3 linked regions of the Rattus norvegicus genome follow. The protein of the gene in region 1 interacts with the protein of each later gene in a pairwise test. Links are inferred from orthologs where the notes say so. Each region holds a gene or a part of one and is shown on either strand. Other genes may lie near its edges.

What was found. The genes of interacting proteins can lie anywhere in the genome.
Region 2: the proteins of Ntaq1 (region 1) and Nt5c1a interact in binary tests that used the Homo sapiens proteins (3 or more experiments, as listed by UniProt). The two-hybrid records come from large-scale screens. The link is inferred for Rattus norvegicus from reciprocal best matches to the Homo sapiens genes NTAQ1 and NT5C1A.
Region 3: the proteins of Ntaq1 (region 1) and Vcp interact in binary tests that used the Homo sapiens proteins (3 or more experiments, as listed by UniProt). The two-hybrid records come from large-scale screens. The link is inferred for Rattus norvegicus from reciprocal best matches to the Homo sapiens genes NTAQ1 and VCP.

What each region holds. Positions count from the first base shown.
Region 1 is NC_086025.1:91,586,717-91,591,966, forward strand, and holds part of Ntaq1 (protein N-terminal glutamine amidohydrolase), read left to right. Parts: exon of another isoform or gene 1-1,376; coding exon 1,377-1,525; exon of another isoform or gene 1,526-2,055; intron 2,056-2,455; coding exon 2,456-2,580; intron 2,581-5,250. UniProt on the Homo sapiens protein: Mediates the side-chain deamidation of N-terminal glutamine residues to glutamate, an important step in N-end rule pathway of protein degradation.
Region 2 is NC_086023.1:140,770,301-140,774,812, forward strand, and holds the end of Nt5c1a (cytosolic 5'-nucleotidase 1A), read left to right. Parts: intron 1-623; coding exon 624-808; intron 809-2,709; coding exon 2,710-3,066; downstream 3,067-4,512.
Region 3 is NC_086023.1:62,014,442-62,019,691, forward strand, and holds part of Vcp (transitional endoplasmic reticulum ATPase), read right to left. Parts: intron 4,631-5,250; coding exon 4,488-4,630; intron 4,032-4,487; coding exon 3,901-4,031; intron 1,843-3,900; coding exon 1,711-1,842; intron 1-1,710. UniProt on the Homo sapiens protein: Necessary for the fragmentation of Golgi stacks during mitosis and for their reassembly after mitosis. Involved in the formation of the transitional endoplasmic reticulum (tER).

The sequences.
Region 1 (5,250 bases):
CTGTGTTGATTATCTCTTCATCTCATCAGGGAAAGTGTTAGCACGCTGAGACACGCTGAGGAAACTCCAGGTGCTGTTAGCACACTTGTACGCTCAACGGGTGTTCTGGTGCGTTTTCTCCTGCAACATTTTCTCCTGGGTTTGAAGCACCAGCCTGCATACCTGTCCCTTGAGAGTCCTATGTCCTCCTTGCCATCAGCTGGTGCTGGCAGTGCCTTGTATCTGGAGAGTAAGAGGTAGCCTCCATTCTGTAACCAGCAGGGCTGTGAGAACTGTCTTTATCCTTCTCCCTTGAGATGAGATCCTTCCCAAGCACATGAAAGGTTGGCTGCTTTGTTTGTTTTTTCTTTTCCTTTTTTGGTTTAATTTTTTTTTTTAAATTAGAAAAGTAATACAAATTGGAAAGTCATGCTCTTCCTTGCCCTCACCTCGGGAAACCCCTACTTAGCAGTTTGGAGGGCCACTCACTTCCTGTCGCTGTAAATGGTACAGGGGACGAATCACGGTGAGGAGAGGTTATTTTGTGCTCATTTTGGGTTTCAGTCCATGACTGCTTGGCTCTGCATTTGCGCCTGTACTGAGGCACAGACATGTGGTGGGGCAGAGCTGTTTGTCTTATGGCCAAGGAGAGGAAGAAGAGGAAAGGGCTGGGCTCCTAATGTCCTTCAAGGATACACCCCCAGTGACCAGGACACTTCTCACTAGGCTTCACTGTGTTTTTGTTTTTAAGGTCTCAGTATGTAGTTCTGACTGGCCTGGAACTCTGCATGTACCTCAGGCTGGCCTTGGACTCGCAGGGACCCACCTGCCTCTCCCTCTTGAGTGTCAGGATTAAAGTGTGTGTCACCACACCCATTCTGGCTTCACCACTTGAAGCTTCCACTGCCTCTCTATTGCCACCCTGATAAGTAAGCCTTCAATACAAGGTTTTTTTTTTTTTTTTTTTCCCCCTGGGGGTGAGGGTGAATGGGTAGTGAAGATCCGAAGTGTAGAAGATACCTTTGAAGCCTTCTTTTGCATTCATGCATGTGAATAAGTATATGCTTCTTAATGCACATTTTGATCTTTACATGCTCAAACCTTGAAATATAATACAAAATACATCTGCGTCCTACAATCAGTTTTTCTGTCCAACTATAGAACATGGGGTGTTACGGAACAGTGTGTCACACACTGATTGTTTAGCCGTGTCCCAGTCACTGGCCACTTTTCAGAGTTGCGGCTTTGTGTTTCCTCTCATTTAGCTTAGGAGTTACAAGGAGAGGACGTTAGGCCGACGGCTGCTTCCCTGCTAATGTGCTGCTGTGTGCTGACCGTGATGTTGGGATGGACCGTCCTGCACTAACTGGGTTAACCTCAGTGATTATTATTCCTAGGATTATCATGTCGTTCTGCTTCATGTGTCAAGGGAAGGACAGAGCTTCATTTATGACCTTGATACTATTTTGCCATTTCCCTGCCCTTTCGACATTTACATAGAAGATGCCCTTAAGTCTGATGATGACATTCATCCACAGTTTAGGAGGTGAGGAAATTCAGTACCAAGCTACTGATTTTCTGAAGTAAGACTTGGTGATTACACAGAAGTCCCCTCTCTGCCTCCTTCCTCCTTTCCCTCCCTTTCCTTTTCTCAGTCTTTTTCTCTCTTCTCCCCTCCCCCTCTGCGCTTCCTCTCCCTTCTCCTCTGTCTCCACCCTCCTCTTTCTGCATTATTGGTGTGCCTGTTATGCAAGAGCTTAAGAGCATCTTAAAGCTTTAAAGGTTCCTCGTCATTCAAAGGGTTGGCGGCATTATAAATATCAGTGTGCTGAGGACCAGCCAAGCTTGAAGACCCAGGTTCCATCTCTGAGATTCACAGGGTGGAAAGAAAGAATTGATATCTATAGATTACCTTTGACCATAAACACACACACACACACACACACACACACACACACACACACACACACGTGTTAAGAAAAAAGTGTGGGTTGGGGATTTAGCTCAGTGGTAGAGTGCTTGCCTAGCAAGGCCCTGGGTTCGGTCCCCAGCTCTGAAAAAAAAAAAAGAAAGAAAGAAAAAAGTGTGATGAGCTCAACATTTTCTTTCAGATGTGTTGAGGGTTTTTCTCTTGTTGCTGGAGTGTCAGCATGGCCAATGTTGTCAAAATCAAGAAAGTTGCAAGGCAACAGCAAAAGTCCTACCCTTTGCCCCTTCTGTGCAGTGTTACTAGAATGCTGGACCCCTTATGTGTAAATAAGAACAACTGGGTGATTTGCTCTCTGTATTTTCACAGCTTGGGGTTTCAGTCATTCCCTTCCGCTTGTACTAGCCACGCACATGTGCATGCATTCGTATCGGTGTGGAAACTCAGGAGTAGCCTTGTGTATCTCATAGAACAGAGTCCAGTTAGCAATGAGTTGGATTGCCAGCGGTGATAACTCCCTGATAGAAACGTGTGTTGATTTACCCGCAGGAAATTCAGAGTGGTTCGTGCTGACTCCTACTTGAAGAACTTTGCTTCTGACCGGTCTCACATGAAGGACTCGAGTGGGAACTGGAGAGAGCCCCCTCCAGAGTACCCCTGCATTGAAACTGGAGGTGAGCTGTGACTTTGCCTGTTCATTGCTCAGATCTGTGTCTCTCTTAGTCGGCTTGTTTAGTTTTGAGACAGGGTTTCTCTGTGTAGCCTTGGCTGTCTCGGAGCTCGCTCTCTAGACCAGACTGGCTGGCCTCTAACTCACAGAAATCCTCTTTCCTCTGCCTCCTGTGTGCTGGCACTAAGGGCATGAGCCACCTCTGCCTGTCTAGCCATCTTTGGAGAAGCTCCCCAAGTGGTGAGGATAAATGAGGGTACCCGTCCTCTGTACCTCCTGGATTCAGCAGTTAAGGCACAGAGAACAGGACTGGAAGGCAAAAGCCTTCTTGGGGAGAGTCCGAACAGAGGAACAGAAGCCATGGCAGTAGCCAACTGCTTGTTGTTGTAAACGTCTGCTGGGATGTTTACACACCGGTGTGTCCTACTGGGATCAGTAGCACATGGCTGTGCTGGGGTTTTATTCACTGCTAAAAGAAATCCCCGGTGCATCCTCCCAGTGTGTGAGGTGTCATTTTAGTAACCCTGTAATAAACCTATGTTCAGAGAGTTTTATCGTGACACTTCCTTTCTGTGCTTCTCGGCAGTAGTCCAGTTGAGGGCGCCCTGAGAGTTAACAGAGCAGGCTGTTCCCTCTGTTTACTTTTGTTCCGTACTCATATGCTTTCGAGACATTGTCTGTGACTGTAAATTGTTCACACCATTCCAGTTATGGGTGAGATCATCCCATCACATGGCTAATGTGGTCTGCAGGAAAATGGCCTGTAGGCTATGCAGGATTCTTCAGAAACAGGGCAAGGTCATCAGTAGCTCTTTAGGGAAGAAAGCATAAAACAGCTAACGTATTTGAAGGGCATGGACTCTTAATGAGGGTTCTCAAGTCTCAGCAAGAAGATAATGAAAGAAACCACAACAAAAACTGTAATTGCTTCCTCTTGTCTTACCCTAGCTTTCCCATGACAGCCATGAGAGCTGTGTTAGGAAAAGGTGACTGGGTACCCTGGGGCTAACCTGGGCACCTAGTGCCTTGGGGTGGTGGGGGGAGGTGACTGGGTACCCTGGGGCTAGCCTGGGCACCTAGTGCCTTCCGGGGGACCCATTTCCTGTGTAGATGTGGATTCCTGCAGCCTGGTACTCGGTTGATAATTAGCACACGGTCTTATCAGGACTTGGTCCTTTTCTTTGCAACTCAGTGCACAGTAGGTCATAGCACATGTGGCCTTATCAGCCGGTAGCTCTAGGTGCCATGCTAAGCTTTAGCTAGCTTCTGCACATATAAACGTAATCTGTAATGCGAGCTGGGAAGATGGCTAGATTGGTCAAATGCCTGCCGAACAAGCATGAGGACCCGATTTGAATCTACACTCCCCCCATCCCCCTGTCTCCTGGAGCAGAGATTTTTCTCTATAGCCCTGGCTGTCTTGGAACTCACTCCATAGACCAGGTTGACCTTGAACTCACAGACCTGCCTGCCTCTGCCTTCCCAGTGCTGGGGTTAAAGGTGTGTGCCAGTACAGCCCAGCTGAGTTGGGATCTTCAGTGCCCACACAAAAGGCAGGTGTGGTGGCATCTTTAATCCTAGCACAGGAGGGGTGGATCCCTGAAGCTGGCCACATTAGTTAGACCAGTGAAGCCCAGGTTCTATGAGAAACCTTCTCTTAAAACATGGGTGGGGAGCTACCAAGGAGGACACCGATGTCCATCTCTGTTTTCCACCTATGTGAACGAAGCACAACCCCTCGTACACACACATAAACAATCCTGCACTGTCTCTCAAGAATATTGTTTTTTGGGGGCGATTTTGGAGGAGTTGTAGGAAGAGAAAGAATATGGCCAAAATACATCATATGAAACTCTTGATAAACAAAAGCATTTTAAAAGTATTTTATTTTCTTTAAAAAAAAATTTGTTAGCTAGGCTGTAGTGGCACAAGCCTTTAATCTCAGCACTTGGGAGGCAAAGGCAGGAAGATCTCTGAGTTCGAGGCCAGGTTGTCCTACAAATCAAGTTCCAGGACAGCCAGGGCTAGACTCAAAGAAACCCTGTCTTGGAAAACAAAAACAAACAAACCAAAGATTTTTTTTGTTGTTTATTTTAAAATTTTAGGTATTTTTAATTTTTTTAAAATTAAAATATAATTACACTGTTGTCCCCCTTCCCTTTTATTTTTTAAATTTTATTTTTAGATGTCTTTATTTTATACTATGGATGCTTTGTTTGCATGTGTGTGTGTGTACACCACGTGGTGCTGAGACAGAGGCTGTCTTGAAACTAGAGTTGTGAGTGACCATCTCAGTGCTGGGACTTAAACCTGGGTCCTCTGCAAGAACAAGTGCTCTTAACCGCTGGGCCATCTCTCCAGCTCCTCTCTTTTATTATTTTAGACTTATAAGTGAGGACACTCTTTTATTTTACGTATTTTATTTTGGTTGTGAGCCTAGCCTTTAACGGCTGAGCCATCTCTCCAGCCCTATTTTACTTATTTTAGACAGGATCTCACCATGTATTCCTGGCTGGCCTGAAGCTCAGTGTGTAGACCAGTTCATAGAGATCTACCTGCCTCTTCCTCCCCAGAGTTGGGATTAAAGGTGTATGCCACAATGCCTCTAGCTCTTAAAAAAGAGAAAAGGAAAGAAAAGCATAGCGTTGTTTTTGTTTTATGCATGAGAGCTTGC
Region 2 (4,512 bases), on another chromosome or scaffold:
ACTAAACACACTATCTCACAGCCTGGGCCACAGTGACTTCAATGTACCCGCACGCTTAGTGGCTGTAGTCAGGGTGTCCACATCCATCCACCCCTACTGCAGTCCGAGAGCTCACCCTCATACGGACCTGAAAGAACTTTAATTTTACTTTGGTCTTGAGGAGGTAGGTAACTTGGAATCAATTGTGAGGGACTGACCACACCTACAGGAGTGCTTCCCCATCTGTTCTCCATGTAGGGTGAGGAACTCCAAACAGAACAGTGACGTAGGAGACCTGTGCTTCCAGCCAAGACTGTTGCTCCGATGGTCCACACCAACATGGTCTTCAGTGTAATTCCCTCATCCTAGCTGATAAGCAGCTCCTCAGTGCCCCTCCTAAGGGTGCCTCCAGAGCTCCCTACAGAGATATTAATGAGGTAGCCTTCAGACATTGATAGAGACCCTCACGGTGCTTCCTCAGAGCCATAGCCACTGCCTCCTAGGGCCAGTAACTGTGCCCTTCCGATTTATAAATGCTTTCAATGAGTCCTTGGTAGGCTTGCCCGTTAGTCCTGGTGCGACAAGGATAGCATAGAATACCTTCTGTGCCAAGGCTCAGACTATGTTCACCTCTCTCTGCCCAGGGATTGCAGCTGCCACCATCTTCAGCCCTAGCAAGGATGTGGTCGTGTCCCAGAGTCAGCTCCGCGTGGCCTTCGATGGGGACGCAGTACTTTTCTCCGATGAGTCAGAGCGCATTGTCAAGGCCCATGGGCTGGACAGATTCTTTGAGCATGAGAAGGCCCACGAGAACAAACCTTTGGCGCAGGTGCCACGCATTCCCAGAACTCCTGAGTAACTCCTCATTCCCCAGAACCTGGACTGGCCGGAATCCAGGGCCAAACCCAGGCTAAGTCCACACCCCACCAGGCCCTCTCCTACTAAGAACCAAGCCTCCTCTCTCCTTGGTTTTTCAAATCAAAGTTTCTCTGTGTAGGCGTGGGTGTCCTGAAACTTGATTTGTAAACTAGACTGGCCTTGAACTCAGAGATCCACCTCCCTCTGCCTCCCGAGCTCTGAACCTCTCCCACTTGGCTCCTTGCTCCTTTCATTGAGACCCCACCCCTTCACTAAGTCCCACCTCCTCACTCAAGTGCCAGTGCTTCACCTCCTGGGTCTCCAGCATCTCTCCAAGCACCTCACCGAAGCCTTCCCTGACTCTCTGTTTTTATTCCTCCAAACGCTGTCTCAGGAGCCCCCAGGCCCTATTCTGAATCTTGAACCCTCTCTAAAGTTCCAAGTCCCAACTCCACAAAAACCTCTCTCTGTCCGTCTCTCTCTGTCTCTCTGTCTCTGTCCGTCTCTCTGTCTCTCTGTCTCTGTCCGTCTCTCTGTCTCTCTGTCTCTGTCCGTCTCTCTCTGTCTCTCTGTCTCTGTCTGTCTCTGTCTGTCTCTGTCTGTCTCTCTGTCTCTGTCCGTCTCTCTCTGTCTCTCTGTCTCTGTCCATCTCTCTCTGTCTCTCTGTCTCTCCCCCCCCTCTCTCTCTCTCTGTCACACACACACACACACACACACACACACACACACACACGCATGCACGCACACACCCCTCTTAGTCCATTGTCCTTTCCCTGTGACCCTCAGCTCTCTCTTGGGATACCCTCCTGAGTAAGGCCCCATCCTGCCAGAAGCTCCTGCTTCCTCACTGAGAGACAAGAGGAGCTCCATATTACACCATCATAGGGAGCGAGGGCTGTGGGTCCCCTTGGGCCACCTCTTGTCATTCCTTAAGTGGCTCAGGGAACCTCACCTGTCTGTGTGCGGGGAGGGGGGGGTAAGGGGATTCCCTAGCTCCACTGGGAACTCCAGTCTGAGCTTTTACAGGAATCTGGGAGCCAGAGCAGTGCACTTTCCCACTAGGTGGTTAACAGAACGCAGCTTACCCCAGGTTCCTAAGCTAGGAAAACCTCCAAGCCTAGCAGGCTACGTCCCTGGCTTCCAGTTGATTTGAAAATGAACCACACTCTGTACCATCCAGTTCTCTCCTCACAGATCCTCAGTGGCGCTTTCCCCTGACCTCAGAGCTTGATCCCCAGAGACACATATGCATCTGTCCACAGGCAGGCTCATAGTCAGTGGTTACACATCTGGCCCAGATGCTCCCAGACAGAATGGAGTCTGTGCTGATTGGCTCATTGTGCCACCATTACTAGCTCATTCTTATTGCTTCTCTGCTGATGAGCACAGACCACACTTACAGAGCTGTAGGATGAATTGCTGTAGGCCACACGAACGGATATTCATAGCAACAGTTGCCCTGGTTATGGTTATTCATTTATTTATTTATTATGTATACAATGTAGCCTGCATGTATACCATGCAGGTCAGAAAAGGGCACCAGATCTCATTACAGATAGTTGTGAGCCACCATGTGGTTGCTGGGAATTGAACTCAGGACCTCTGGAAGAGCAGACAGGGCTCTTAACCACTGAGCCATCTCTCCAGCCCGGTTATGGTTATTCTTAAACAGCCCTAATCACATTAAGACCGACCCCAGACTAAGGTACCTACAGCTCTGTATGCACACAGGCGCCAGATGGGGCAGACGGAAACTACCCAAGGATTTAGGGATTTCCCACCCCAACAGCCAATCACTGATGCTTTAGGACGAAAGGCAAAATGTTTTGGAGAGGTGAATTAATCAGCATCTCTGTTTCCTTTTCTCCACAGGGTCCCCTAAAGGGCTTCCTGGAAGCACTAGGTAGGCTGCAGAAGAAATTCTACTCCAAAGGCCTGCGGCTGGAGTGCCCGATTCGTACTTACTTGGTGACAGCGCGCAGCGCAGCCAGTTCTGGAGCCCGGGCCCTCAAGACCCTACGTAGCTGGGGCCTGGAGACGGATGAGGCCTTATTCCTAGCTGGAGCACCCAAGGGCCCTCTTCTTGAGAAGATCCGCCCACACATCTTCTTTGATGACCAGATGTTTCACGTGGCCGGAGCTCAGGAGATGGGCACCGTGGCCGCCCACGTGCCTTACGGCGTAGCTCAGAATCCACGGAGGGAAAAGCAGTCCCTAGGCGCACAGTAGCTGAGCTACCTTGCTCCAGGCCCTGTCACGTTTCTGAACCGCGGCTGGTGAGCTTTTCAGGCTCCTCACTGTCCACCCTCCTGCATGCCGCACTCATCTCTCTGTACCAGGTACTCTTAGAACGTTAGGAAGACAGAGCCAGCAGTCTCGAAATCCCTCCTGGGCAAACATTGCCATGACCCTGGCTAGAAAGCAGCACTCGGCAGAGTATCCTGGGTGTCAGAGAGAAACTGGTGGGACAGAGAGTTGTGTAGACAGAGAAGCCAGCATGCCTAAGGGCTTGGGATGAGAACTATCTCTAACGTAGCGCAAAGAACACTGTGTGAACGTGGGTAGATTTAACATCTAAAGCAGATCTGGCATGGATGCATGACTTAAGTTCCCCTTTTTCATAAGCCTTGGCATACTACCATTTTTTTGGGTGGCTTTCAATTTGTTCTTTAGCCAAAGAAGCTTGGTTTTATAAGATTGTGCACTAAATTAATCATTTAGTGCTGGGGCTGCTAGTACCCACGGCACCTGTGTGGATTACAAAAGGACACTGTCTAAGTGAATGCATTACAAAACTAATGGCCCTTCCTTCCTCTGGCCCGAGCCGGGATATAGGCTAGATTCCAGCCCTTTGCCCCTCAACCCCGAGGCCCATCAAATGAGAAGTGTGCACAGTGCTGCACAGTGCTGCACAGATTCTCTCTCGATAATTTTTTCATGTTTAGAAACCACTGCCCAAGGTGACCCTTTGCTTGCTGTGATTTGCTAACCTGAGCCGTGGAGAGCTGCTACATGCAAGGTGTTTGAAGAACTGAAGGGAGGAACGTCGCCCACATGCAGATTCTCCTCTAGCCAGCAGAGGGCACTGCAGGCTCTCTCTGAAGAAGGCTTCAGTGGCTCGCCAACTCTGGGTTTCCTTTGCCTCTAGCTTCAGGGCAAAGTTCAGTTAGTCCTGCCTGCCGGTCTCCTCAGCTCAGTCCTGGGTCTGCCAGTCATTTCCACCTTCCGTGCTGTAAGGAAGTTCTCCTAACAGAGAAGGAACTCTAGCCCTAAATATGGAGAAACCACAGGCTCTAAAGCGAGTCGTTGTCCAGGCTGTGCCTGAGGTGTAGGTGCCACAGTGAGATGTGGGAAGTATCAGGTCTGTTCTGAAACCAAAGACGCTAAGAAAGTGGTAGCTTAGGGAGGAATGAGTTGAATGCGTCCCAGCATGGTTCTGCTGTGGAGAGTGAGTAGAAGTCAGTCAGAGCTACCCCGGAAGTAATACGCTGTCATCAGGGTGCTATGCAAAGGATTCTGGGATGAACCAGCCTTCCTGAGAGATATCCGCGGTTGATCCATCTTTGCATGAATCTCTACAGCCCTTTCTTCTCCACCTGATGAGTGATGGACCACCTCCTTCTTTGCTAAGCAGCCCTGGCACTCAGAGGAAGGGTGGAAGAGTGGATGGTTGCC
Region 3 (5,250 bases), on another chromosome or scaffold:
GATACCATAAAGAAAAAGTCTTTGGGGTTTAGAGGGATGGCTCAGCATTTAAGAGCACTGGCTACTCTTCCACTGATTGTGGATGTGGCTGACAACCACCTGTAACTCCAGTTCTAGAGGATCTAGCTGATGTCTTCTTCTGGTCAGTTGTAGATACTGAAAGCTTGTGGTGTCTACATATACATTAACGAAACTAACAGCCACACACATAAAAAAGAACACACAAGCCTTTGAGACCCGTTTATAAACCCAGCTGAAGAGAATAGTAAGAATTGCATAGTCGAGGCCAGACTGACTTACAATGGGAGACCAAAAGAAAACACAAAGAGCCAGATGTGGTTTGCATCTTTAATCCCAGAACTCAAGGCAGAGGCAGGTAGGTCTCTGAATTTGAGGCTAACCCGGTCTATATAGCGAGTTCCAGGATAGCTAAGGATACATAAAGAAAGAAGCCCTGTCTGCTGCTACACACACACTCTCTCTCTCTCTCTCTCTCTCTCTCTCTCTCTCTCTCTCTCTCTCTCTCTCCCTCTCTCTCCCCCTCTCTCTCCGTCCCTCCCTCCCTCTCCCCCTCCACCCCCTCTCTCCTTGGAAATAAACACTAACATTTATAAACTCAATTTGCATAGGAGACTAATAGTGAACAACCTTAAAAAAAAAAAAGAACCACCTTTAAAAAGTCACACCTGGGGGACTTTACAAACTGGAAGGACAGTGAATAATAAGTTATTATGCCAAGGCCTCAATAATTTCCCTTTGGACAAACCAGGATGCAAGGTACTTACTACTAAAGCAAGGTCTGTTTTTCAGGGTTAGAGCTCTTCACTCATGTGTTTACAACCTTTTAGGACAGTGGTTCTAAATCTGTGGGTCACGATCACTGGAAAACACCTATTTCTGATGTCTTAGGATTTCCCAACCGTAAGTTTTAATTGCTACTTCATAACTCTAATTTTGCTACTGAGTGGTATTTCCGATAGTTCCTAAGAATTGAACTCAGGATCTCTGGAAGAGCAGTCACTGTTCTAACTGCTGGTCATCTCTCCAGCCCTAGAATGTCTTTTTTTCAAAACAAGATTCCTTTCCTAAAACAGACAAATAGGACTTCTCTGTGCAACCCTGGCTGTCCTGGAACCACTCTCTGTAGATATGGTTGTCAAGTCTCAAATTCATAGATGCGCCTGCCTCTGCCTCAGAGAGAATGAAGGCATGTCTTTTCTTCTAAAATAATCAACTGCACCTTTCTTGTAAGTTGTCTGCAGCCTTATCCACAAGACATTGAAACTGCCCTCAAGACAAAACCACTTGTATGCTTAGTAAGCAAAGTAGTCACACTTCATCTTTAGTGTGTTCTATTACATATAAAAGGTCAAAAAACTATTCTAGACAGGTGGTGGTTCTCAGGTGTTTAACTCAGGATCTGAAAACTCGATTAATTTCCTTCTTTTATTGAGTAATACTCTACAAATATTGGCAAAATTATGGTTAAAATTTTAATACGATCCATGGGAGATCTCATTGTTTAAGCATATTATGTGTGTATACGCGTACATACATATACATGACAATCTATAGCTCTAATGAATTTTTAGAGCCTTCTATAAACCCAAAGATTATTATTGCCCCTTTAAGCCATTTAGGGCATCAGTCACACCATGAGAAAACATTATAGCACTGTCTTAGACTCCCCACAGATCTTAGGATACTCACCTTCACACCAATTGCCTTAAAGAGTGCAGGATGTCTCAGTGGCAGCTCCACCATCTCCTTTATCTGAGCTAGCTGCTTCCTGCAACCACCGATGTCATCATAGCCTACTTCATTCAAGGACTCCTCCTCATCCTGAATATAAAAGAGTATAAAACAACAACAAAAACCAGAATAATATTGTCAGCAAATATACAATTTCTCCAAGTCCTCCCACTATTTGGTATGGAAAAAAATATGTTGTGTGAGAAGATTCTCTTCTGCAGGGATCTTGTCTTAAGCCAGGTAACATGTCTGTAAATTCTGTACTTGGAAGGCAGAAAGACTGGATGTGAGGCCAGCTTAAGCCACAGTGAATTGCAGTCAGCTTATACAGCAATACCCAGTAAAAGGAAAATAAAACAAAGTAAAAACACCCAAACACTGCTCTCTTATGAGCAGTCCTTATTTTACTGAAAAGGGATCCCTAAACTAAAGTTGACCTACACAGAACTGGGTTTATCAACATCCCATCCTGAATGGAGCGGGGTTTGGGAGTTGGTTCATAAAGGCACCACCCTACCCTGAGGTGTGGGGCAAGTGGACTGTACCACCAGACAAAAGAACTGGTAAGGTTGAATGAGCCTAAACCCCATGAAACTCAGAACTGAGAACAGTTGGACTGGAGCCAACTCTGCCTAAACCTGTTCTGGAAGCCCACTGAGAACCGTGGCAATCAGTCACACAGCATAAAGTTCGATAAGCTACTGAGCTATCTAGATAGGCCTTGGGCATTCAATTCAGGAGCTTCCCTTCTGGGGCACTGGTTCCTGAAGAAGGTATTCAATCTCTAGCTCACTCAGATTAAGGTATTGTATTAACATCTGCCATCAAATAAAGCAGTTTGGACAAGCAAGGACCTTCTCTTCGATCAAGGATCTCTGTAGGGGTTGGGGGTCTTTATAACAAACCCTAAATGTCCAGGACTTCTCTCTTCCAGCCCCTCCGTACTCTCAGCACTCATTCGGAATCAAACCAAGTTCCACCTGTCCCAGGCTCTGCCTTTCCCTTCCTGCCTAGCAAGTAGATGTTGCACACCAGAAGTGCCTGGGTACACAGAAGGCCAGAAACCATACCAATAGTCACAAACTCCAGTTTCCCATACAGAAAAAAAACATGGACTGGGACCCCCATTGCAGACTGAGTTCTGCCTCCCGAGTGGTGTGCCAGACAAGCAATCTGGCACTGAGGAGCTGGAAGACAGAGTATTCCTTAGTGGCAGTATAGCCACTGGTAAGCTGTAGCTGTCAGATAGCCTCCCCCACACAAGATCAATTCTAAATAAATTCAGTTGGTCACCAAAGGGAGTGGGGGTTGGGGGTACTGGAGAGATGGTTTAGGGTTAAGAGCACTGGTTGCTCTTCCAGAAGACGTGGGTTTAATTCCCAATACCCACATGACAATTAACTGCCTCTAACTCATCTCAGGGGAGCTAACAGAGACATGTTATATAGACACACATGTAGGCATACTACCCATTCAGGTAAATAAAGGTTTAAAAAAGTTATGAGAGTGGGAAGACTGGGGTGGGATCAGTAGAATTTTGCACACAATGCACATGCTTTAATTCCATCTTGGGAGGCAGAAGCAGGCAGATCACTGTGAATTCTAGGCCAGAGAGAACAACATGAGACCCAGTCTCAAAAAACAAACAAGGGGAATAGGAACGCGATCAAATATAGCCATGTGGGTGCTGGGAATTGAACTCAGGACCCCTTGAAGAGCAGCCAGTGCTGAGCCACCAAGCTATCGCTCATTTACGTTTTTGAGACAGGATCTCACTTCATAGGCCATCCTGCTGGACTCAAACTCACAGCAATCTTCCCACCTCCACCTCCTACGCACCAGGACTATTGGCATGTACCACCACACTTACTGGCAGCCATTTACACCTCTCGGCTTTGTCTTAAATTCGTGGAAGTAGGTTCTTTCAAGAAATACTTAACGTGGTTTTCTACTTCTATTAAGGCCATCTAATCTTGAAAAGTATTCCGTTTGATAAGCAACACAAATGCTACCCGAGTGCCAATGAATTTGGGAGATGAGGATGTATTTCAGTGGTAGGCCTAACATGCACACGGCCCTGGGTTCAATTCCCAGAACCACAAGCAAAAAGCAAAATAAAACCATGGCTGGGATTAGGGAGTAACTCACCTCTCGCTTGATTGGCTCCCCCTCACAGTGGATCACTGTGTCTGGAGCAACAATACAGTAAGGGCTGGGATCTGTCTCTACTACTTTGAACTCCACAGCACGCATCCCACCCCGGACAAGGAAAATATCTCCTATAATACAAAGCAATACATGTGCAATTAGAGGTGTCAAGTACAAGACCACCTGAGACTTCTTCACTAGACCACATGATCTCAAATTCAAAGCTCAGTAGCTATTACTTATGCCTTCCTTTCCCACACCAGGCAATAGTGAAACACAACTCTGTACTATATCCCAGGAATATGACAAAAGCCCCTTTAACTATTAGGGTGTAGACGGCCTAAGCTTTCACTACAACCAACAATGGAAGAGCAATACACTGCCAATTTGACAGCAAAACCACATTACCCTTCAGAAATACATGAGAACTGCTTACTATACTAGAGCACAGAAGGGAGGTAAGAGAGCTGACAATTGAATATGTGTGCAGATTATAGCTATACATAATACTCAGACACATGAAAATAACATGGAATTGTTAAAAGTTTACTCAAGTAACAACTGTTCTTAAACTCAGTTTCTCTCACCTTTACGGATGGGCCGATATGCTTCCAGGAAGTACGGCTTAAGGTATACCTCAAAAAGATTGCCAGTGATGCCTTCCACTGTGTCATCAATGGGTAGCACATGGATACGTTTGCCATACTTTACATCAGGGCATGGCTGGATGCTGAGGATGACAAGCAGACTCCACATTACCAACCACACTGCAGCCCCAAGCACTGGGTGTCCGAAAGGGCCTGGCACAGACCGCTGATGGCAAGCCAAAGAGAAAAGGCAGGGACGGCCTTAGGTGAAGAGAAGGGGGAGAGCAGGGTGGGAGAGACGCAAAGGAACAGCCTCGCAGAGCTAAGACAGGTTACATTCACAATGAGGTAACAGAAGTTCACCCATCACTAAGCCAAAATTAAGAATATTTGGAAGCTCTACGTATGCACAGCCCTACCACTGGAGTCTTCAATACGTGATATCCAATAATAATAATCCTTTCAGCTAGTATCAACCATCTCCTCTCTCTGAAGAACTGAGATTACTGGGAATATAGGTATGTGCTACCATGTCTAGCCTTCTAGTTAATATCTCAGAATTACATGGGGGAGGGGGAACAAGGTTTTATAACTGAATCAAAAAATAATAATCTCGGGGTTGGGGATTTAGCTCAGTGGTAGGGCGCTTGCCTAGGAAGCGCAAGGCCCTGGGTTCGGTCCCCAGCTCCGAAAAAAAGAACCAAATAAATAAATAATAATAATAATAATAATAATCTCAGCCACAATATCAAAATATCATGAG